4 linked regions of the Caenorhabditis elegans genome follow. The protein of the gene in region 1 purifies or fractionates together with the protein of each later gene. This does not show direct contact. Each region holds a gene or a part of one and is shown on either strand. Other genes may lie near its edges.

What was found.
Region 2: the proteins of egc-2 (region 1) and rfl-1 fractionate together in Caenorhabditis elegans (co-fractionation; one large-scale study listed by BioGRID). This does not show direct contact.
Region 3: the proteins of egc-2 (region 1) and Y104H12D.2 fractionate together in Caenorhabditis elegans (co-fractionation; one large-scale study listed by BioGRID). This does not show direct contact.
Region 4: the proteins of egc-2 (region 1) and pold-2 fractionate together in Caenorhabditis elegans (co-fractionation; one large-scale study listed by BioGRID). This does not show direct contact.

Annotation. Positions count from the first base shown.
Region 1 is NC_003282.8:8,899,770-8,904,452, forward strand, and holds egc-2 (CCHC-type domain-containing protein), read left to right. Parts: upstream 1-1,876; 5' UTR 1,877-1,891; coding exon 1,892-1,948; intron 1,949-1,994; coding exon 1,995-2,616; intron 2,617-2,663; coding exon 2,664-2,981; intron 2,982-3,027; coding exon 3,028-3,191; 3' UTR 3,192-3,408; downstream 3,409-4,683. Other genes in the region: rad-54.L2 (Helicase ARIP4), read left to right, coding at 1-953, 997-1,146, 1,193-1,278; Putative serine/threonine-protein phosphatase C27B7.6, read right to left, coding at 3,478-3,631, 3,932-4,012, 4,120-4,249, 4,331-4,562, 4,661-4,683.
Region 2 is NC_003281.10:7,020,015-7,024,796, forward strand, and holds rfl-1 (NEDD8-activating enzyme E1 catalytic subunit), read left to right. Parts: upstream 1-1,870; 5' UTR 1,871-1,875; coding exon 1,876-2,058; intron 2,059-2,103; coding exon 2,104-2,186; intron 2,187-2,235; coding exon 2,236-2,316; intron 2,317-2,385; coding exon 2,386-2,494; intron 2,495-2,542; coding exon 2,543-2,804; intron 2,805-2,891; coding exon 2,892-3,093; intron 3,094-3,136; coding exon 3,137-3,313; intron 3,314-3,356; coding exon 3,357-3,552; 3' UTR 3,553-3,638; downstream 3,639-4,782. Other genes in the region: col-8 (Cuticle collagen 8), read right to left, coding at 1-104, 153-585; cyk-1 (WAPL domain-containing protein), read right to left, coding at 3,824-3,991, 4,037-4,458, 4,504-4,782. UniProt on the Caenorhabditis elegans protein: Catalytic subunit of the dimeric rfl-1 (uba-3)-ula-1 E1 enzyme.
Region 3 is NC_003282.8:1,175,608-1,183,364, forward strand, and holds Y104H12D.2 (DUF7930 domain-containing protein), read left to right. Parts: upstream 1-2,414; 5' UTR 2,415-2,431; coding exon 2,432-2,580; intron 2,581-2,691; coding exon 2,692-2,833; intron 2,834-2,939; coding exon 2,940-3,179; intron 3,180-3,879; coding exon 3,880-3,980; intron 3,981-5,706; coding exon 5,707-5,929; intron 5,930-6,984; exon of another isoform or gene 6,985-7,054; coding exon 7,055-7,183; 3' UTR 7,184-7,257; downstream 7,258-7,757. Other genes in the region: cec-2 (Chromo domain-containing protein), read left to right, coding at 829-1,068; rmif-2 (RecQ-mediated genome instability protein 2 homolog), read left to right, coding at 7,368-7,476.
Region 4 is NC_003282.8:11,557,613-11,563,912, reverse strand, and holds pold-2 (putative DNA polymerase delta small subunit), read left to right. Parts: upstream 1-2,079; 5' UTR 2,080-2,080; coding exon 2,081-2,159; intron 2,160-2,204; coding exon 2,205-2,294; intron 2,295-2,339; coding exon 2,340-2,773; intron 2,774-3,733; coding exon 3,734-4,287; intron 4,288-4,816; coding exon 4,817-5,015; 3' UTR 5,016-5,176; downstream 5,177-6,300. Other genes in the region: sec-24.1 (Protein transport protein Sec24C), read left to right, coding at 1-275, 326-1,207, 1,254-1,481. UniProt on the Caenorhabditis elegans protein: The function of the small subunit is not yet clear.

The sequences.
Region 1 (4,683 bases):
CAGATGCATTATCATTGACGCTTGTTGGAATCCTTGTCACGATGCTCAAGCTGTATGTCGTGTCTATCGATATGGTCAACAGAAGAAAACATTTGTTTATCGTCTTATTATGGATAACTCAATGGAGCGATCGATTTTCAATCGACAAATTTCAAAACATGGACTACAACAAAGAGTAGTTGACGATGCACAAGTTGATGCAAATATTTCGCAAAAAGAATTGGAGACTCTTCTAATGTATGATGAGGCACAAGATGTTAATCATGACAAATGGAATACAGATGATTGGGATTTCGGAGATCCGGTTCTAGACTCAATCACTAAGAGAATGAGTCAAATGTTTGCCGGGAAACCGTTCCTTCATGAAACCTTGATAATGGAGTCAGAGCAATCACTCAGCGAGCAGGAAAAACGAGAAGCTCAATTACTTTTTGATAGAGAACGACGTATGGAGAACTATGATCCATTGAGTGGCCTGAGCAGTTCTAACTTTTATAACAATGCTCCTGGAAGCTCAATGGGAATGATGGGTCCACCACCAGTTCCGATGTTCAATAATAACATGCAAAATAGTTTCAATAATCATTGGCAACAATCTCCTAATCAGCTTGCACCCAATTTTGGATCTTATCCACCACAGCAATTTCCACAACCGATGCCAAACATGTCACAATTTCCACCTCATGGACCATCACCTCAAATTCCATCAATTCGTCCATCACCAATGCCTCACACGCTTCGAATGAATGTCAGTCAATTCCATCACCAAGGAGGTGGTCATACGATGACGTCATTCAACAATGGCTATCCGAATAATAACAATGGAGGAGCTATAGGAAACCCTCAACAAATGCTTCCTCCAAGAGATCCATCAGCTTTTCCGGGAGCTGTTATGAGCAAAATACCATCATTTTCCCCGGCTGGAGCAGTTCAACAATTGATTACTGATAGACGTGAGTTTGACGTTTAAGTTTTTTTGAAAATTCAAATTTTTAGAACTCGTTTTTCCCATTGTCGGACATAGAGATCAGCTTCATCAGGTTCAGGCAAATACACCAATACAGTTAGTTGTTCCGAAAAATGGATATTATGTGAAACTACGTGATGGAACAATTCTTGACGCTGTCGGAAGTGTTTTTGAGAATCGTTAGTTTACTAGAAAAAATTTCGTATAATTTTTTAAAATTTATAGATGCCCGTCAGCTTCGTGATATGTATCTAAGCAAAAATTTCAACCATGATCCGCAGCAGGTTCAAGAAGTCATCGATCTTGATTAACAACGTCTTGCATTTTTTTCTTTTGATGTACATTTCGTTTTTTATCATATAAAATACAACATCTATCTCAATGCAACATCCAATGAGATCTCTGATAATTCACTATCATTTTACTCAATTATTTTTCCTCTTATAGAGGCTCCTAAATTAATTTTAGGCAAGTTTCGAATTTCCACATTTCAACTTTGTCCACACTCTTCCCTTTTATCATTAGTATGTCAATTAATTAAATTTTTCTGTTTTTTCCAACACAGTAATCAGCTCCGCTGTTCGGCAAGCTGCCAATTGTGTTTTATACGCCTTCTCTTTTAATTTAATGAATAAATACGAATAATATTTAAATTATCGGATTCGCTTGAAAGAGAAATTGGAATAACATTTTTCCGCAGATCCCCGTTTTGTAGTGCCTCTTAATAACGCGTTTTTAAATACTGACTTGGTTACTGTAGGTTTTGGTCCCGACACGAAATTCTGAACTCGTTCGGCACGTTTCTTCAATTTTCTTCATTTCTCTCACCCATTTCTGATGAATTAATGGTTTTTAGATTAATTTTTAAATATTCAGCGTTCTGCCAGTTTCTCAAAATAATTTTTTTAGACATTTCGGTCGGATATGTCGGAATTGTCGAGTGAAATGAAGTCAATGGAAAACGGAATGTCGGCGAGAACGGTATTTTTTATCAAATTAATGACAATTTGTAAACTATTCATTTCAGGACAGACAACATTATCTTGAGAGAGCTCAATACTCTCCATGGCCAAAAACTCAAAATAGTGGAGCATTCGGAGCGCTAACTGATCAACCGAGAAAGTATCGAGGAGGATTTGGAGGAGGTGAAGGCTTCTCTGATTTTGGATCCGTTAGTGGACTTGGCGGTAGAATCCCCAGAAACTCCTCTCACCTAAACGACAGTTCTGGATTTGGTTCCGTACGAGGAGGGTACAGCAGTTATCGAGAAAGCAGATCATCTCGTGTTGCTGTTTCGGATGCTCTTTACATGAATAATGAACGTTGCGTGACACCTCTGCCATCTGAGAATATAATGGGTAGTCCACGGCGTGGATCTTTCCGAAGTTCGCCCCGATCCGATGGTATGGGATCTTCATCGAAGAGACCACGCTCTGGCCGCCGAACCGGTAGACGTGGGCGAGGTGGGCCAGGCCACTGCTTCCATTGTCAAGAGCATGGACACATTTCGAGAATGTGCCCGAAGAAGGTTGGAGAAACGGATGAACACGGAGATGGAAAAGATATCGAAGTGGAACCATTTGAGACGAAAGATTTACTCCAAGAAGACGCATCAAGATACTCTTCTAATATGAAGGCTTTGCATGGAGGTTATTGTTTGAATACTAGGAAAACGTAACAATTTTTATGTTTTCAGGTGGACTGTATCAAAGCAAGTTGGACAATCAAAAGGCCCGTGAGTCTTATTATGGAGGGTACGGCTACAGCATCAACAGTCTCACCCCAAGAAGTGTTGGCAGCGTGAGAAGTGGTTTCACAGCACCAATGATGTCGCCCGAAATTGACAAATTCTCAGAGCAGTTGGACAATGCTTTGAAGCTCAGCAATGTCGAGCCGGTAGCTCCGTCGCCATACGTGATGACTATCACTGGAAAAGGGCCAGCTGAAAAATTGATGAAAGAAGTGCCACCAGTTGCTCCAATCAACACTCTACAGAGCAGAGAAGGAGCCAAACGTGAGATTATCAAAATTCTATAATTGTATAATGTTCATTATTACAGAAATTTCTACGGAGACTTTGTCAATCGAGACACGCAGAACTGTGATGCGCGATGGAGAATTCCACTTCGAGGAGACGACTATCATCAATTTCCCACGAGTTCTTCCGCCCAACGTCCGTGTCATCGCTGCCCAGTTCGTGCCGGTCGCTTCACAAAATTCATAATTTCTGATAATTATGATGCTATCAAGGAAAATGTTTAATAATTACTATTGGGAACTCTGCCCAATTTGCAGCGTATTTTTACTGTTTTTCATTGTTGTTCCATTTATTGACTTCTAGGTATTGTTTTTTACGTTCTGGAATTGTTTCTGTCCTAAATTTGAAAACTTGTATTTTTGATTTGAGTCTTCAACCTCATTTCATAAAAGTGTTTCATGTTACTCTCGTTTCATAATTATACACACTCAAACTTGAACATTTTCTACAGTATACTTCATTCAAAGGAAATCTACGCATTTTCAGTAGAACTCGGAGGCGATCGTGGAATTGGCGGAGATTGGGCGAGTGGAGCGTCCGGAGATGGAGTTCTTGGCGGAGGCGGCGTCGTACTAGTAGTCATTCCCAATTTTTTGCGGATTGATTCAAGAGACATGACTTTATCTCTGGAAATATTGTAAACATGAAAAAACTTCTTCGCATATAAAAAACCAGCCGTGGACCGCACCTTCGGCGCGGCCCCCGACTTCTGGGGCTGAAAATTAATTTTTTATGAAACTACCGTAACCCTACAGTATTCCTACCGTACCACTATTGTACCACTACAGTACCCCAACTATATCCCTACACTAACCCTAACTCACTATCCCTCCAGAAGCCAAAACTTCACAGACTACAAAGGCTACATAGACTACAAACTATGGACACACAGAATAAGCGCTTTATATATAGTAAATGATACTTACTTCAAACTAACTTCTACTCCATATCCTTTCTGTGTCTTGCGAATCATGTCCAATACAGAATGATCTTCATCTTGGTTTGAGCTGGAAATTACACATATTGAAAATGCTCCTATAACATGATTGTGAAGTCATGTTTCCGAATAATTAGACGGTCACATTTTCCAGAGGTACTGAAGCTTTAATCTCACCTATAAGGCTTCTTCACAGGTGTCTCATTGTCTTTCTTACAAAACTGTGTTTCATGGGCAAACATCGAGTATTCTCCAAGAAATGGTGACATTTTCTGCCCGTTTGGTGGAACATTGAATTGGCAACTTACTGTAAAAAATTGAATATTAAAACAATCGGATAAGTATGTTGTTTTTATAGATTTTTGCAATAAATAATAGGAGAACTCACTGTTTTTTCTAGGATTCTCATCAAGTGGCTGAAAGTTTTTTTCGAAATCGTGAAGAGTTCTCTTGTCCAATTTAGAGCGATCATATCCCTTATTAGGTTTCAGAGTCACGATTCGCAATTTCAAACTTTTACTGATTGTAGCAACTGATCCCAAATTGGAATTGTGTCCAGAATAATAAGGCGCTGAGAAGACTGTCAGAAGACGGTTGTCAAACTCAAAAGTATGTCCTTTCTGGAAACAAAAAATATTTAACATGCGAAATTGAACGATTCGCAATTTTCAAATGATTATACTACCATAGATGAAAGGTATAGATGAAAAACATAAACCTCTTTCATTTCATGAGCTCTGA
Region 2 (4,782 bases), on another chromosome or scaffold:
TGGTGGTCCGTGTCTTCCTTGATCTCCAGCTGGTCCTGCTGGTCCGACAAGTCCTGATGGTCCTCGTGGTCCTGGACGTCCTGGTGGGCACTTAATACATCCTCCTAGAAATTACTCAATTTAAAAACAAGTCTATAACACAGTAAAGATACCTGGAATATCGTGAGTAATTGCAACAATAACTCCTGGTGCACCAGGCTTTCCATCATCTCCATCATGTCCTGGCTCTCCACTTTGTCCACCCTCTCCAGGTGGCCCTGGTGGTCCTGCTGGGCATCCCTCAGACTTTGGTCCACAGTTACATTGTTCTGGATAAGCTTGACGGGCCTTACGTGTTCCGAAAAGAGTCTCGAATGTTGGTGGATGAGATTCGATTGTTTCTTCGTCGACGCCACCTGGATAAGTGTGTTTTGTGACGATCCTTTGCCAGGTGTCTTTAGTAATGGCGCGGAATTCAAACATCTCGTCATCGAAATCAGATTGAAGTTGTTTGATGTCAGTAAGAAGACCCATCATGGTGTAAAGTGCCACGAAGACACATACAAGCATGGAGGCGGACCCCGCCCAGATGAGTGTATTACTCATTCTGAAAATTGATGCGATGTGTCTCAAAATCATGCGGAATTAAAAATAAGTTATTTTCTTGAATCACCGTGGCGGGACCCACTTTAAAATTTCAGTGGGTCTCGTAACGCTCAAACCGATTTTAGCGGACTTCTCAAAATAATAGAATAAAACAGATGAAGACGAGTTATACAAATTATATATTTCTAGATAAATCAACAAATAAATAAAACTAAAAACCAAAAATTAACTTTCTTTGCGTGTATCCAATGGTTTAAGTAGTCATCCTTATCAGATCGTCACGTCCTGAACCACTCAATAATTTTCAATTTTCCGTTTACTTCTCCGAATGGTTCCGCCTGTTTTCCGATCACTTTTCGACGACGTCAAACCAGTTAGCATTTCTCTGAAACTCTCCAGTAACCAGTATCTTTGTCTGTTGCTATCGAACATCAAATTGTGTGGCAATCGTTTTTTTTTCTGGAAATACTTCTCTCGCCTATCTGTTACCCTCTTTCAGGTATCAGGGGCGGAAAAGAAAGTGAAAGTTTGCAGAAATTCAGTAAATGAGGGTTCTATATTAGTTTTAAGGGAATTTGAGAGTAATTGGAACTTCAGTTTGCAGTCTTCAATCTTTAAGAGCTACCGTAACCCTATTTCAGTGAAGAGTCTACTGATACCGTTGCGGGCCCATTAAATACTTAATCCAAAAATTAATTAATACTTTGTCGACGCTCCTTTGATTAGACGATGTATTTTTGCTATTCAACTTCCCTGATTGAGAATGCTATCGATTAGAGAGCCAAATGGCAGTAATCCCCGAGAGATTGTCTGTCATCACTGCTGCGTTTAGAGACACAGGTGAGCAGAACAGTACGATACTCCGCTATTCCGAAACGCGCGTTGTTCACCGTAAATCGACATTAATTTGGCTGGAATTGTTTTAAAATTAGAAATTGTTTTATTGTTGTTTTATTCTTTAATTTTCACCTCTCGTTATTATTTCATTAAATTATAGTTTTACATCGTTCGTTTTGAAGCGAGATTATATTTTTAATGGAATAAACCTAAAATGTTGTTTATAAATAATTCTTATGAAATTCAAAGAATTGTCATTTTTTGAACAATAGTGCGAATTATTATTAATTAAACAACAAAATTTATACTTTAAACGTTCCAATTTTTTCCTTGTAATAAAAAATAAAATGCGACACTAAATAAGTATTAGGAACTGTAAACATGCTTTACAATGTATAATCTATTTTGTTTACACCACAAGGAAAATTAAATATTCAACACTTTTAAGCAAAGATGGTCAGCGTGGATCCATTGGCAACGGAGCGTTGGAGGAGCATCAGAAGATTAACAGATCGCGACTCTGCATATAAAGTTCCATGGTTTGTTCCCGGACCGGAAAACTTTGAAGCACTGCAAAACACGAAGATTCTTGTTATTGGTGCTGGTGGATTGGGTTGTGAGTTGTTAAAGAACTTGGTTAGTTAGAATTCAAAAAAAACATTAAAAATAATGCATTTTCAGGCTTTGAGCGGATTCCGAACAATTGAAGTTATCGATATGGACACAATTGATGTATCAAACCTAAATCGTCAATTCTTATTTAGGTATTAAAAAATTATTATTAAATTCGTTCTGTCAAAAAAAAACTTTCAGGGAATCTGACGTTGGAAAATCAAAAGCTGAGGTAGCTGCTGCTTTCGTTCAACAAAGAGTTGTTGGATGTCAGGTGACTGCGTAAGTGTTGTGGTTTGATAGTCTTTCCAAACAAATTCAGAATTATTTTAATTTTATTTCAATTTTCAGGCACAACTGTAGAATTGAAGACAAGGGTCAAGAATTTTATCGAAAATTCTCTATAATTATCTGTGGACTTGATTCGATTCCAGCCAGAAGATGGATCAACGGAATGCTGGTAAAATTCTTTCTAGCTCAAAATATAAATTAATTTATCGAATTGCAGTGTGATTTGGTTTTGGAAATGGCCGACGGAAAACCTGATGAGAACACAATTATTCCAATGATTGACGGAGGAACTGAAGGATTTAAAGGAAATGCTCGTGTCATATATCCGAAATTCACAGCCTGTATTGATTGTACTCTTGATCTTTATCCACCTCAAGTCAATTTTCCATTGTGCACAATTGCTCACACTCCTCGACTTCCAGAACATTGTATTGAATACATTAAAGTAGTTGTTTGGCCAGAGGAAAAACCATTTGAAGGTAAAAATTTACAGAAAAATCGGTGAAACGAACTTTAATTTTAGTGTTATTTTTAAAGTTTTTTCTGGAAAAAAGTTATATTTCCAGGTGTTTCTCTTGACGCTGACGATCCGATCCACGTTGAATGGGTTCTCGAAAGAGCAAGTCTTCGTGCAGAAAAATACAATATTCGAGGTGTGGATCGTCGTTTGACATCTGGAGTTCTAAAAAGAATTATTCCGGCTGTTGCATCAACAAATGCAGTTATCGCTGCATCATGTGCCCTAGAAGCTCTGAAATTGGCCACAAAGTATGTAAGATCACATATTAAAACTCTCAATATTCAATTTCAGCATTGCCAAACCAATCGATAATTATCTTAATTTCACTCAAATTCACGGAGCATATACCAGTGTTGTTTCAATGATGAAAGATGACAATTGTCTCACTTGTAGTGGTGGGCGTCTTCCATTCGAAGTTTCACCATCTTCAACTCTTGAATCGCTTATCATCAGACTCTCGGAGCGTTTGTACGTTCTCCGTTTGTTTTAGAAAACAAATTTCAAATTTCAGCCATCTCAAACATCCGACACTAGCGACCTCAACTCGAAAACTTTACTGTATTAGCAGTTTCATGCCACAATTTGAACAAGAAAGCAAAGAAAATCTGCATACTTCGATGAAAGATCTTGTTAGCGATGGCGAAGAAATACTGGTATCCGACGAAGCATTGTCTCGTGCACTTACACTACGAATTCAGCTCATCTAATGCATTTCTTCTATTTCACTTTTGAATGTCTCGGGTAAAGTATGCCTGTGTTCCATGTCAATAAAAATAAAATCGTTTTTAAACTCAAAATATTTACCTAAAGAAAATAGAAAGGAAAAGTGAACTGATGAAAATACAACGAGCAATTGAAATGGAACGAGAAGAGGGACCCTGTGAATGACAATTAAAGTATGAAAAATGTGGCAATAATACAGAAAAAATAGAGACGGAGAATGACTAGATCTATAGATAAGACAACCGATGTGAGCTTTCAGAAATCATTAAGACGTGCGAGAAGATCGTCTGTTGATGGCACCACTGTGCCTGATGATGATGATGTAGCCGTGTTTGATGATGCAGGACCAGATGAAGTTGACGAGGAACCCGTCGGATCGTTTTCTTTGTGCGTTGGTGAGATTTGCGATGTTCCATTGATATTCTGAAAGTTAAATTTCGAAAAGTTTCCACATATAAAATATGTTACCGTAACTGGAACAGCTGGTTGCCCTTTCCTTCTCACTCGAACTTTGAGCTCATTCTGACCAATCGGCAATCCAACTCCAAATGCTTTAGCCCTATCAAGCGCCGTTGTTGGTTTTACTGATGATGGAAGTTCCATATTTTGTCGTTGCAGATCATTTTGAGGAACGTTGCGTGATCGAGCAAACTGTCCGGAAAGAACCGGTTCCGATGCGCAGCCAGTGAGATCTTGAAGCTGACCCAAAGCATTCTGATGTCGTGATCTTTGCCGATCAAGTCCTCCTCCAAGTCTTCCACCTCCGCGAGTTCGAGCTGGCAATCCGGAACGAGGAGTTCGAGAATTTGTGGCAGACATCAAGGTTTGAAGGAAATCAGCATTTCCTGTAGCACGCTCCAACTCATCGAGCACACCAGCCTTATCGGCAGCTGAAAAAATTATATTAAAAAACAATTTCAAAAATATCAACTCACCAGTCGAAACTCGAATCATCGCAGCCGGAGTTCTTGGCACTCTATTAATCGCCTGTCTCTCTTGTAACGGCTTCCTTTCTTGTTGAGATTGTTGCAGCTGCTTCCGCTTCTGTGTCTCAAATTCTGCTTCTTTTCGTTTTGCTTCTGCTTCGGCATCCAACTCTTTCCAAGCATTCGAATATTGCTCAGAGAAGGTGCGAATATCGGCGAAAAATTCTTCCATCGGATATTTTTTGTCGTTAAATGCATAATACTTGACCAACGACTCCCAATCGTTTT
Region 3 (7,757 bases), 7.7 Mb from region 1:
ATCTGACGACAAATTGCAGAAAAAAGTCGAAATTTCTGCAAGTTGTCGTCGAATCCGGTGTTTCTTAGATTACTGTAGCCGTATATATGTGCAGTACACAGAATCTTACGACAAATTGCAGAAATGTAAAAATTTCTTGAATTTTCGGTAAGAATTGAGTTCAAAAACGTGAAAAAGTAAAGAAAATGGCTTTTTTTTTAAAGGTAAATTTCACCGAAAATTCGAATTTTCTGCGAATTGTCGTCAAATCTGGTGTTTCTTGGATTACTGTAGCGTCAGATGTGTGCAAAACACTGTATTTTACGACAAATTGCACAAAACTTGAATTTTCAGTAAAAATTGAGTTCAAAAACGTGAAAAAATCTAGAAAATTGCTTCTTTTTTTTTTGTTGATAATTTGACCGAATATTCAGATTTTTCTGCAAATTGTCGTCAAATCTGGTGTTTTTTGGATTACTGTAGCGTCAAATTTGTGCAAACACCTTTTACTTGAATTTTAGGTGGAAATTGAGATCAAATTGCATGTTTTAGGAGATTTTCAATAAAAATTTAAATTTTCTGCAGTTTGTCGTAAGATCTGGTGCACTGCAAACTTTTGGTGCTACAGTAACCTAGTCCACACTAAATCCTACGAAAAACTGCGGAGTTACGACAAAAAATATAGAAAATTTCATTTTTTTTTAAAGGTAAATTTCACCGAAAATTCGAATTTTTTGCAAATTGCTGTCAGTTTCAGTGTATTTGCGCAAGATTTTCATCCAATTTTCATTGAAAAATGCGATTTTCGCCCTGAAAAATCTCAAAATTTTTTAATTTTTTAATTTCCAGAACCGCTTCAACGCCCACATCGATGTCCCATGCTTCACCCTTTGGATGAACGGAAAAATGTGCGAAAAACTTGAAAATTCGCATGGATTATCGATTTTTCGGCCGCTCGGCACAGTGCTCGACGTCAACGAACTGAAAATCAAGATTACTGAACATTCGTCACGTTTTGTCGCAATTTTGCCGGTTTTTAATTTGAATTCCGACTGGAAAAATTGTTTTTTTCCCCTGGAAAATCAATAATTATCGATTTTTTTCTGTTGAATTCGTATTTTCTATAATTTGCCGTCGTTTTCACTCGATTTCCCACTGATTCATAATAATTTTCTTTAAAAACCCACTGAAAAATCGATTTTTCCGCTAGGGAATTAATTATTATTGATTTTTTTTTGATAGAAAATCGATTTTTATCGATTTTTCGCTAATATTTAAAAATCAATTTATCCTAATTTCTCACTGAAACCCCCCCCCCCCCTATTGCTATCATGAATTCATGATAGTTTTCTTTAAAACCCACTGAAAATCGATTTTCCGCTAGAAATTTATCGATTTTTCGCAAATTTTTCATCACTTTTTCCCGATCTCGTTGTTTTTATCCCGATTTCATGTCAAAAAAATCAATTCCGATTACAATTCCATGACCAATTCTAAATTACAGAAAAATCGATTTTTTACGAAATTTATCGATTTTTCGCTATTTTTTCATCACTTTTTCCCGATCTCGTTGTTTTTTTTTTGAATTATTGCTAAAAATCACTTCCGATTACAATTCCATGACCAATTCCGCCCAAACTATCGATTTTTTGCTTGAAAATCGATAATTTTTCAACCGATCTCTTGTTTTCTTTTTAATTATCATTAAAAATCACTTCCTCTCACAATTCCACCACCATTTCCGCCAACAAAATCCACAAAATTATCGATTTTTCCGCCGGAAAATCGATAATTCCTGTTTTTTTTGTATTTTCCCCTATTTTCTTAATTAAATTGCTTGTAGAATTGCCTAGTATCCTAGAATTCTAATAGTAACCGCTAATATTATTGATTTTTCCAAAAAAACCCTGAAATTATCGACTTTTACCTAAAAATTGTCGTTTTTCTTCTGTTTTTATTGTGTTTTTTCGCCGAAAATTGTCGCATATTGTTAATAGAATCTCATTTTCTGCCCAACATGGCGCAATTCTTTTAATTTACCCTGACTAATGTGCTTTTTCTCACTTTCTACACCATTTTTGTGAACTTTTATCGATTTTTTTTTCTCGTGATTTTCCCCCATATATCATTGACCTACTTCACACATATGCAACTTCTGAACACTGGAATAAATTTATTAATGTTTCATTACTAAAATCTTTTGAAATTGCGAATTAAATTGATTTAAATCGGGGTTTTGCCGCACTTTCTGCGATATATTGCAATTTTTCGGTTTGAACTCCCGCGCATTTGAATTAACGACACTCCGATATCCCGCCAGCGCGTGTTGTTTATCGCGTTTTGTTTTTTGAATAAAATTGTTTATTTTTGAGCCAAAATCTTTGATTTCAACGGTTTTTTCGTGATTTTTTGTTAGAATAACTGAAAATTTAGAGATTTCAAGCAAAAAACTATGCCAGAACCAACGGAATTGTCTGGAATCATCTCAAAACTTGAGGAAACCTACGCATTCGCCACCACCAGTCTTGGAAACGTATTTATACCGATTGCAGCGGCCAGAACCAAGAACGAGACGCTTTTAAGCTTGCTCGACAAGTTTTCGTGAGTTTTTTTTGCTGGAAAAGTTACATAAATCAATTAAAAATCAAAGTTTTGGGTGAAAATTCAAGTTTTTTCGAACTTTTCCCGGAAAAAATCGATAAAGTGTTTCAGATACAACGAAACTGTGCAAATGGTGGTTATTAAACAGATAGGACGCAAAAATAACTGCAATTATCAGGCAAAACTCGTGAAAAAGCTCGAAGGCTCAATGTTGGCGGCCGCCAGAATTTCCAATGAAGTTTTCGGGCCATTGGTGGGTTTTTAGGGTTAAAAACTTGGTTTTAAGTGAAAAAATAGTCAGAAAATTGAATTTTCCATAGTTTTAAAGCTAAAAAATCTCGAAAATCCCGTATTTCCAGATCGCCCAGGTGACCAGCACCACGGATAGCTACGCGTTTGCTCAAAACGACGAAAAAGGCACAATTTTCGTGCCGGGAGACGCTTTTGACGCGAAAATCGTGAAAAATGTGGGCCGATACGTGAATACCAGCAATCAACTGGTGCTAAAAATCAAGGAGCAAATCGAACGAAAAGGGTGTAAATGGGTCGCTGTTGAGGCTGTAAAACACTTTGTTGTCGAGGAAAATGAGGAGAAAGAGGTGGAAAATCGAGAAAAATCGATAAATTTTGATCTAGAGCTCGGAAAACTGCTGAAAAAGTGAATTTAGAGCAGAAAATTGGAGTTTTGAGCCGCCGAATGTCCAATGTTCAAGTAAAAAAATGTGAATTTAGAGCTAAAAAATTTAAAAAATGGCAAATTTCGACTAAAAATATAACTTTTCTCCCGAAAAAACGAATTTTTATGACAAAGTTGAGCCATTTTGGTATTTTTGCCCAAATTTCAGCTAACAACTTAAAAATGATCTAAAATATCCAAATTTTTGTATAAAAACCTAAAAGTTCTCCAAAAAGTTCAATTTTTTGCCCAAATTTCCGCTAAAACCTGGAAAATACTCTAAAATACCCAAATTTTTGTATAAGAACCTAAAAATTGCGAAAAAATATCCAAAAAAAAAAAAAGACTTTTTGTCCAATTTTCTGTTCAAAACACGGAAAAACTATCCAAATTGCACTAATTATACAAAAATCTGTTTTTTTTGGCCAAAAAAAATTTTTTTTCGGCTAAAAACTCGGAAAATTAATTAAAAATGCCCAAATTTTTGCCTAAAAACCGAAACATTGCAAAAAATTCACAAAAAACTCAATTTTCGCCCAATTTTCGAGCTGAAAACACGAAAAATGCTCAAATTTTTCCCCCAAAATATGCCGAAAATCAATAAAAATTTCAATTTTTTTCAGGCGGTAGCAACTGGAGAAGTAAAAATTTCGTGGGGAGTCGTTGTGGAAGTTGATGAAATGGAAGCACATGTATTAGATGAAAAGAATGGAATACTTGTTACGTTAGTAATGTTAAAAACTAAAAAAAATCTTAAAAATCTTAATTTTATAACTTTCTGTAAAAAAAACGAAAAAAAAAAATCGAATTTTTAGATAAAAACTCTGTAAAATCGAGAAAAATTGACTGTTTCGGGCTTATTTTCAGACAGAAATTAGAAATATAAAAGCTAATTTCACAGAAACATAAACTTTCACTAAAAATTGGCTTTTTACAAAATTTCTTCAGTGAAAATCTGGAAATTTTACCAGAAAAATTCCGGAAAAATGTCAAAATGTTGACCATAAATCGAAATTTGTACAAATTTTCGGAGAAAATTGCATTTGATCATCAAATTTCATCAGTTTTTACATTTTTTTCAGTGAATATCATACAATTTCACCAAAATATTGGAAAAAAATCGGGAAATTCACATTTTCTATGTGGAAAATATAAGAAACCAGCCGTGGACCGCACCTACGGCGCGGCCCCCGACTTTTTGAGAAAACACATTAGATATACGGTGTCTATCGCGGACCTCGATCGATGTCTGCTGCGCACTTAGCATAAGGTTTCCCAAAATTTCGTTGCTCTGATCAGAGATCAAACTACATAAGGACAGAAGGACACGCGCTTTATATATAGTAAATGATATAGGAAAAATCCTGGAATTTTCCAGATTTTTCTGTGAAATTCTAGAATATTTTTGGTTGAAAATGTCAAAAATCCAGAAAATTTTCAGAAAATTTCCCTGTATATTGTCTGTGACTTGTGTGTTTCTCTATCCGAATTGATGGTTTGAATAGTGGTATTCTCGGCTGAAATATGCAATAAATACCGTATTCCAACCAACAATTTGTGCAATAGAGCACATTTGTCACTGGAGATGCAGAAGCTATGCCCAAATTTTCATTTAGCGCGGAAATTTGGCTGTTTTCGGGTGTAAAGTAGAAAATTTGGAAATTTCGACATTAAAATTTATTATAAAATTTGAAAAAAAATCCATAAAAATCCCTTTTTTCTGACAATTTTCTGTTAAAAATTGGTAGTTTTTTGGGTTTTTTTAAATCCCAGTTTCCGAGGAAAGCTATAAATTTGGGTACGGTAACTCGGAATTTATGATGTTTTTTTTTAAAGCTGTAAAAACTGAAAAATTCTGCTCAATTTCCAATTTTTGTTGAAAACCTAGTGGTTTCTTGGATTGTTCTAATTTTTTATCAAAATCCTGCTGAAAATTAGAATTTTTAGCTTTTCCGCTTGTTTTTCGGAATTTTTTGTGGCTTTTTCCAGGTAAAAAATCCGTTTTTTACGGAAAAAACGGCAAATTTTTGAATTTTTCGATGTTTTTCCCATGAAAATCGGAAAATTTGTATTTTTTGTTTATTTTTAAAGGAAATTCGAATTTTTTTTCGTGGCGAGACCCAACCTTTTCAGACTTTGCGCAAAGTAGGTCAAAATTATACGGCAACTTGGCAACTGAATTTCCCAATACTGTCTGTGACTTGTGTGTTTCTCTATCCGAATTGATGGTTTGAATAGTGGTATTCTCGGCTGAAATATGCAATAAATACCGTATTCCAACCAACAATTCGGTGCAATAGAGCACATTTGTCACCGGGGATGCGGAAGCTATGCCCAAATTTTCATTTTTCAGGAAAAACACCTTTTAAAAGCCAAAATTGGGCCAAATTTCATAAATTTTTGGCCAAAAAACTTAAAATTTTCACCAAAAATCGCCTTTTTTTTTGCAGATGCCCAATTCTAAAATACACTGGCGGAGCAGATGATAGTCCTTCGGCTCGAGCACTAAATGACGTCATATCAATCGATAATCACGTTATGTTCAAAGCTATGCTAATCAATGGAAGATATGACGCTGTTGAATGGAAAAAAATTGCCGATTCTCATGAACTTGTGATGCCGAAAAAAGTGAACACGTCGGATTCGTATGCACAGACTCCTGCGTGTCTTGTGGTACGGGGTTTTGAGTGGAAATTTGGGATTTTCCGCTAAAAATGAGCTGAGAAAATCGGAAATTTTAACCCTAAATTGCCTGGAAATTCGGAATTTTGCGTTAAAAAAAGTGAAAAAAAAACATTCAATTTTAGATCCAAAAAGTTTATTTTGGAAGCTCCCACTTTGGCTGAAATTTTGATATTTCTGGTTAAATTTTACCGGTTTTATGCAGAATTTTTTATAATTTTCCACTTTAATTGGCATTTTAGAGCCTTAATTTTTACTAAAAATGCGCTAAAAATTTGATATTTTACTAACTTTTGTTAGAAATGTGAATATTTTATTAAAAAGGTTGATTTTTATGTAAATTAAATTATTTTGTCAACAAAAATTAGATAAAAATTCGGAAAACCCATTTTCCATACCGTTTTCAGATATTTCTGGCCTCCTTTGCAAAAAAATGAAAAATTGGAAATTTTCAGGAATTAAAAAAAATTCAAAATTTTTCAAATATCTAAACAAATTAGGATACTTTGACCGATTTTGCTACGCTTAGAAAAAGTTTTAGTCCATTTTCTAAATTTAAATCAATTTTCTGACGACATTTTTCAAAAAATTTGAAAAATTTCACACATTTTGACTAGTTTTTTTTCCAAAAATGTAAATTTTTTTTAAACTTTAAAAAAGTTTTTTAAATTAAAAAGCTGTAAAAACCGAAAAATTCTACCTAATTTCCAATTTTTTGTTGAAAACCTAGGATTAGCTTGGATTTTGCTAATTTTTCTCAAAATTGTGTTGAAAATCTGAATTTCTAAGCTTATCCGTTTTTTTTTCTAACATTTTCGGCGTTTTTCATCCCAGTTACCGAGGAATGCTATAAATTTTGAGTACGGCAACTCGGCAACTGAACTGAATTTCCCTGTATATTGTCTGTGACTTGTGTGTTTCTCTATCCGAATTGATGGTTTGAATAGTGGTATTCTCGGCTGAAACATGCAATAAATACCGTATTCCAACCAACAATTTGTGCAATAGAGCACATTTGTCACTGGAGATGCGGAAGCTATGCCCAAATTTTCAATTTTTCACGTGAAAACTTTGTCAAAATCACTAAATTTTCGCCTAAAAACCTGAAATATTCAGACAATCATGTTCCGAAAACTGCTCCAAAATCATCCAGAAGATATGGATCGATACTCATCAATATTGGATCAATTGCCACCGTCAGCACTTCCAGATTGCTATTTTTCCCGTGAAAATTGCACGGAATAATGGGATTTTTTTTTTGGTTTTTTTTTCGGTTTTATTCTCGAAAACGTGTTTGTCAATACTAATTATTGGGTTTTTTTTTCACAATTTTGCACTTATTTTCCGCACAAAATCGGTTAAAATTCCGGCTTTTTTTTACCTATTTTCACCCATTTTTTACCCCAAAAAACCGGAAAATCCATAGAAAATGTGCGATCGAGACGATTGTGCAAGTATCGCGAGCCGCTGCACCGGAGAAACTATCATTTGTGCATTTGTGGAATCAATCACACCGCCCAAGATTCGAGATAAGACGGGTAGGTTTTTTTTTTGCGGAAAAACTGCAAAATCCACTTAATTATCGATTTTTGGTGCGGAAAACGCCGAAAAATTGTCATTTTTGGGTTACTGTAGCCCCAAACATCACACCAATGCATCGGATCTTACGACAAAATGCAGAAAAAATTCGATTATTACGTAGAACCGCGTTTTTCCGCATTTTGTCGTAAAATCCGGTGCATTGATGCGGTTTTTGCACGGATTTAGGGATACGGTAACCACAAATTCGATTTTTCATTAAAAAATGACATAGTGCTAA
Region 4 (6,300 bases), 2.7 Mb from region 1:
CAGGAAAAGTGATTCTGTTTTCAACTGTTCTACCAACATATGATGCACCGGGAAAGCTGAAATCCAAAAATGATCGATCTCTTCTCGGGACAGATAAAGAAAAGAATGCACTGGTTCCACAAGAAGATTCATACACGAAGTTGGGAGAGCAATGTGTCAAGTCAGGAGTTACTGTCGATTTATTCCTCTTCCCAAATGCTTTCATTGATGTTGCCACAATTGGTCAGCTTTCTGCAGTTACGGGAGGATCTATTTTCAAATTTCAGTATTTCTCGGTAAATTTAAAGAAAAACCAATAATTTTATTAATTTTATTTTTATTTCAGGCCGATAAAGACGGTGTTCGCATGTTGAATGAGTTGGAACGACACGTTTCTAAGAAAATTGCATTCGACTGCATGGCAAGAGTAAGAACGTCTACAGGAATTCGTCCTATCACTTTTACTGGCTCCTTTTACATGGAAAACTCAACGGATTTGGAATTGGCTACATTGGATGAAAGCAAAGCATTCATCACAGAAATCAAACATGATGATAGTCTGAAAGATCCAGCTTCCTTCATTCAAACCGCTGTACTGTATACGTCGATGACTGGACAGCGCCGTTTGCGAATTTTGAACTTATGCCTTCCAGTTACTGCTGATTACAACCAAGTTTACCGACTTGCTGATCCGGAAGCATTGACAGCATTCATGTTGAAGCAAGCTGTTCAATTGAATCGTGACAAGGGAAGCTCAGAAATGAGAGAATCACTTTCTTCTCGTTGTGCACAATTCCTAGCGACCTATCGAGAGAAGTGTAGTGAAGGTGCCCCACTTGGACAACTGATTCTTCCTGAATCTCTGAAATTGATGCCGCTCTATGTGAACTCTATTTTGAAAAATGATGCGATCAGTGGAGGAAGTGAAATGACAGTCGACGACAAAGTGTGGCAGATGGAATTGATCCGTGGGCTACGAACTGAAAATGTCATGCCTCTTATTTATCCAAGAGTTATGCCAATCTCTGATCTACAAATCAATGATACTGAAGAAATGAAGGATCTTCCAAAACCTGTTAGAGCGAGTTCTGAGTTCCTGGAAAATTCGAAAGCCTATATTATTGATAACGGTGTTATTCTGTTTGTCTGGGTTGGCTCTGCATGCCCCCAGACATGGGTTCAAGACGTGTTTGGTGTTGGTGCTACAAATCAAATTGATACCGAGAGTGTAAGTTATCAATTGCTACGTTCAATTAGTCAATTACATTTTTCAGGGAACAATTCCGGAAAAAGACAATGGTCATTCACGTGCTCTTCGTCGTGCAATTCAACTTTTGCCACGTGGGATCCGAGAGCGAAAAACGTTCGTTGTCGTGGAAAAAAGCGGCCTTGAGCCATGGATGAAGAAATTTTTAGTGGAAGACAAGGCTGGTCCTGCTAATATGTCATACGTTGATTACCTTGTGGATATCCATCGCAAAATCCGCGATCTCATTTCCTAAGTCGTTGATACTGTGATAGAATTGCTTCTCTTGATTGTTCCCTTTGTTCTTCCTTCATATTATTTTGATCACGCCAAAGCAAATCTTGTGATTAGAAATGTTGGAAGAATTAATATTTTGTACCGGTTTCTTTGTACACATTCATTTCCTTCCCTCTCGCCGTACTATTTTCTTTTAATATTATGGAGCATGGTTTGTAAAAATTAAGATATTAGCTTTCCTAGCACCTTATCAGTGCAAAAATAGAATTTGTTTTATCTGCTTTTTCCCAGATTCCTAATTTATTCTTTTCCAGTTGCTCTCGCGACTTTTAGAGATTTCTATTTATTGTTCCTTTTTTTGTAAAATATCCCCTATTACCCCGTCCATATAATTTATTGTGATTTGAAATGGGATCGAATGTGTTTAATTTGATGGTGTCTTATGAAAATAAAATGTTTTTGATTAAACATTTGAGAATCGAATATGTTGACTTTGTGAATATTATATTTTTGAAATTCACTTCGGTGTAATGTTAACGCGCTCTAACGCAATTTGCCGCGAAATTTCAACATTGACAAATTTGCCTTCTTGAATTGATTTTTTTCTTTATTTTAAGAATGGAAACCGCTTGGTCCAACATCCTAAACTATAAGAATGTCTCAGATCGATACATTCTCACTGAAAAAGATAAAAAAGGTATTTATATTTTGCTCTAAGCTTTAAAAAGTTATTTTCTTTCAGGTGCGTTCACTAGACAGTACTTTGAAGTCTACGAAGCTCGCTTGAAGGAACTGAAACCTCGTATTTTGGAAAATGCAGAACGTGAAATTGGTTAGAATTATAATATTACTAATAAACCTTAATTTTTATCTTCAGGCAAGGGAAAATTCACGCATTCACAATTGAGCGATGCTAAACAAGACGAGGAAATCTTCGTGGTCGGCGTTATTGTAAAGAGAATAGCTGCAAGACCATCAATTTTGAAATCGTTGCTCAACGAGGATAAAGTGGCTTATGATGATTATGAAGAAGATGCCGAAGAAGACGAAGTGAAAAGATACGCTGGAAGCATTGAAGATCGAATCGAATTGGAATCAGATAAACAGACAGTACGTCTGGAAGGAAATATTTCAATGGATGAGTGTGCAACTGGTTGTTGTGTTGGAGTTCTTGGAAAATTAGGAAAAGAAGGAGTATTTCATGTGAATCGTTTGGTTTGGCCATCTGTAAAAGTTCCAAAGAAAGTGGCTGTCGACGGGACTATCGCTTTCGTCAGTGGACTCGATCTAACTGGAGATTTGGAAGACGATGTGAGTATTAATTCTGTAACTTGAATACTATTCCAACTTTAAAATTGTGCTCCAAAACTACGGTACACGATCTCGAAGCGACCGATTTTTGTTAATACAAAAGAGTGCGCCTTTAAAGAGTACTGTAGTTCCCAACTCCTCGTTGTTGCAGATTTTTCATTAATTCGTCAAAATTTGAAAAACATTTTCACATGTTTTTCAATAAATTTCAAAGAAACGGATGAAAAATCGAAGAAAATCTACAGAAGTTCGGAACTACAGTAATCTTTAAAGGCGCATAATCTTTTGTTTTCTGTTTTTTTGTCTAATTTAAATCGAAAAACAACCAAATTACACCTTTTCTCGGATATTTTAATCTAAGTATTTCCACTTAATCCCGGACTTCTGAATGAAATCTATGCCATTTGAAAGAGCATCTTTTAAATAGGCCCCTACAAAAATTTAGCAGCAGAGGACCACTTTGATCTGGAAAAAAGTCTCCCTGAAAAATGTTCAGTGCATTTTTCCACAACTTTCGAGGTCTGTGAATGGCTCCAAATGTGAATTTTTGTAGATTTTTGATGATTTCTAAGATTTTCAGGGGCAGGCAAACATTCAAAATTTGTTTTGGAATTTTTTCGATTTTTTGAATCCATGTCCATTGCGAAATTTCAGATTTTTTTCAAAAATTTTTAAACATTCCCAAAAACAAAATCTGAATGTTTACCGGCCGTGAACATCTTAGAAATCATCAAAAATCTACAAAAATTCACATTTGTAGCCATTTTACGGACCTCGAAAGTTGTGAAAAAAAATGCATTGAAAAATTTTCAGAGCGACCTTTTCCAGTTCAAAGTGCTCATCCGCCGCTAAATTTTTTATAGGGGTCTTCTTAGAAGATGCTCTTTCAAATGGAATAAGTTCCATTCAGAAGATTCATATTTCCATGGTTTTCTCGAAACTACAAAATCATGATTTCAGCGACTCACAATCTCTGGTCTTGAATTTATGGCTGATTGGATGAATGTTCAAGTTGGAAATGAGAATCAATGTCCACCGATTGATCGTCTTGTAGTTATTGGTCCACTGGTTGAAACAAAATCAAATGGTTGTGATGTTCAGTCAGTCGTTCGAACACTTACTCTTTCACGTGCAGAGAAACATTCTTCAACAGCATCACTAATTACTGTAGACAAAATTATTAATTCAATTGCTGAAAAACCTCTTGTTAACACTGTCGACGTGACTCCTGGTGTTGGTGATCCATGCTCATCGATGTGGCCACTGCCACCTATTCACAGAGTTTGTCTTCCACGTTGTGGAATGAGTGATAAAAAAGTGAATCTTGTGACAAATCCATATGAATTTGAAGTCAATGGACTACGTGTGATGACAATGTCTGGCGAAAACGTGAGCGAGCTTCTTCGTACTTCCCTGAAATGGACGGGAGCTGATGCTATTGAGAATATCATTAAATGGCAACATGTGGCACCAAATTGTCCAGATACTCTTGATGCATTCCCAGTGGCTGAAAGGTTTGTTTGGTGCATTTTTTGGAGCACAGAATAATTTCGAAAAATATTTCGAACCAAAAAAACTAAAAAATATGTTGATATTGGATTTATTTCGAAATATAATTTTTTTGGAGCCTAAGACCTAAATACTTTTTGAAAAATTAATCAAAAACCACTAAAAATAAGGTTTGCTGTAAGTATATAAATTTTTTTCGGGTATTTTGGTGTCAAAAAAGAAGCCAAATAAAATCAATTTTTCCTTTAAATAACATTAAAAAACCAGAAAAATGTCCAACTCTAGTCAAGGGTGACATTTTTTCGATTTTTCGATGTTTTTCAGTGAAAATCAAAAATCGATAAAAGAAATTTTTCGACTTTCCAAAAATCGAAAAATTTTTGTTTTTCGATTTTCTAAAAAAAAAATCGAAAAACGAACACCCTAAGGTCCCTAGTTTTAAGTTTTAAAAAATTGATTTAGTACAGTACTTTTCTATTGATAGAGAACATTTATTACCTATACAGAGAATGTTTCAAAACAATTATTTTTCAGAGATCCTCTGATCATGGACATCACACCGCATGTGATCATTTGTGGAAATCAACCTCACGCCGAGTTCCGTCATATTCCAATTGATGGATCAAATTGCCTTGTTGTTTGCCTGCCCAAATTCTCCAAAACTCGTGTCGCCTGCTTTCTCAACTTATCTGATCTTTCCCTGAAGTGGCAAAACTTTGATCATCAGTTCTAATTATTTTATGCGTGTTCACATTCAAAATTCACATTTTGTTGAATTATCCAGTTATTACTCCATTTTTTGTACTGTTTTACGTTAAATATTTTACCAAATACGATTTATTGTATCTTTAAACGTTAATTTCCAATAAAAAACGAGGATAGGCTCATTAAAGTACGAAAAATCGCCTAAAATTGCCGAAAATCAGGAAATTAATTATTTGATTGTCTGAGAGGAGTACACACGAGGTGGCGCTCATTTGCGCGCGAAATTCAAATTAGATGGACGGCGAGATTTTTTTCGGCACTTTGAAGGCTCATAACTTCATTTAGCGAAATTTTTGTGATGTTTCGCTTTCACATATCGACTTGTACGAGCATAGAGAATGTTTTTAAGCACAGTCTCAAATTCGACTACACCACCTTTAACGAGATTTAAAAACCTTATTACCACAAAAAGTCTAATGACCGAAAATTACATTTCCAGGTGTCAACCGCCCTCCCATGAGAGACAATAGATGAGAGCCAATAAAGTAATTTTGAGCGTTCACACCTGTCGATAGTGTGTAATGACTCTCCGTTGTTCTCATTAGGCGTTGCAGAACCCTATAGTCAGTTATACAGTCAGTCTGCCAAATTTCTATCCAGAAAAATGGTGAGCTCTTTGTTGGAGTTGACTGCCTATAAAGTTGCTGACTATATTGAACGTGGTATGTTTTATTTTATTTTAATTCTTCAATAAACTATACAAATTTCAGGAAAGTACAATAAAATGAATTATATTCTTGATGCAAAATCGAGTAATGTCATTTACTGCCATCTCAGAAAAATGCGGAGCTCCAGTTATATTTTATCAAAGGATCGAACAAGAAACGAGACGAGTTGGACACATAGAGCAACAGAACAAATACGTCTGAAATTTCAAATATCCAAAATTGATTTCACTTATACTTTGTTAGATTTCAAGACATTTCGAATGCTCAGAGAGCAACATCTTGATACCCTTATTTTAGGGCATTTGATTAATGTCCGTGAATGGTTTTTAGATGATGAAAGTAAGTTTTTTGAAAGTTTATTATATCAACAGATGAGTAATAATGTTGCAGATAATATGAAAGTTGACATTTTCAAATTTTTGAGAGAATTATTGAATGAAGAGTGTCGACTGAAACTTCAAAACTTAGATATAACCGGTCATCAATCATCTTCAAATTTATGGATACAAGAGGTAATTTATGTTCATAGTTTATTGTTAGTGACTGAATAGTGCTAAATTTTTGAAATACCATATAAAACCTTTT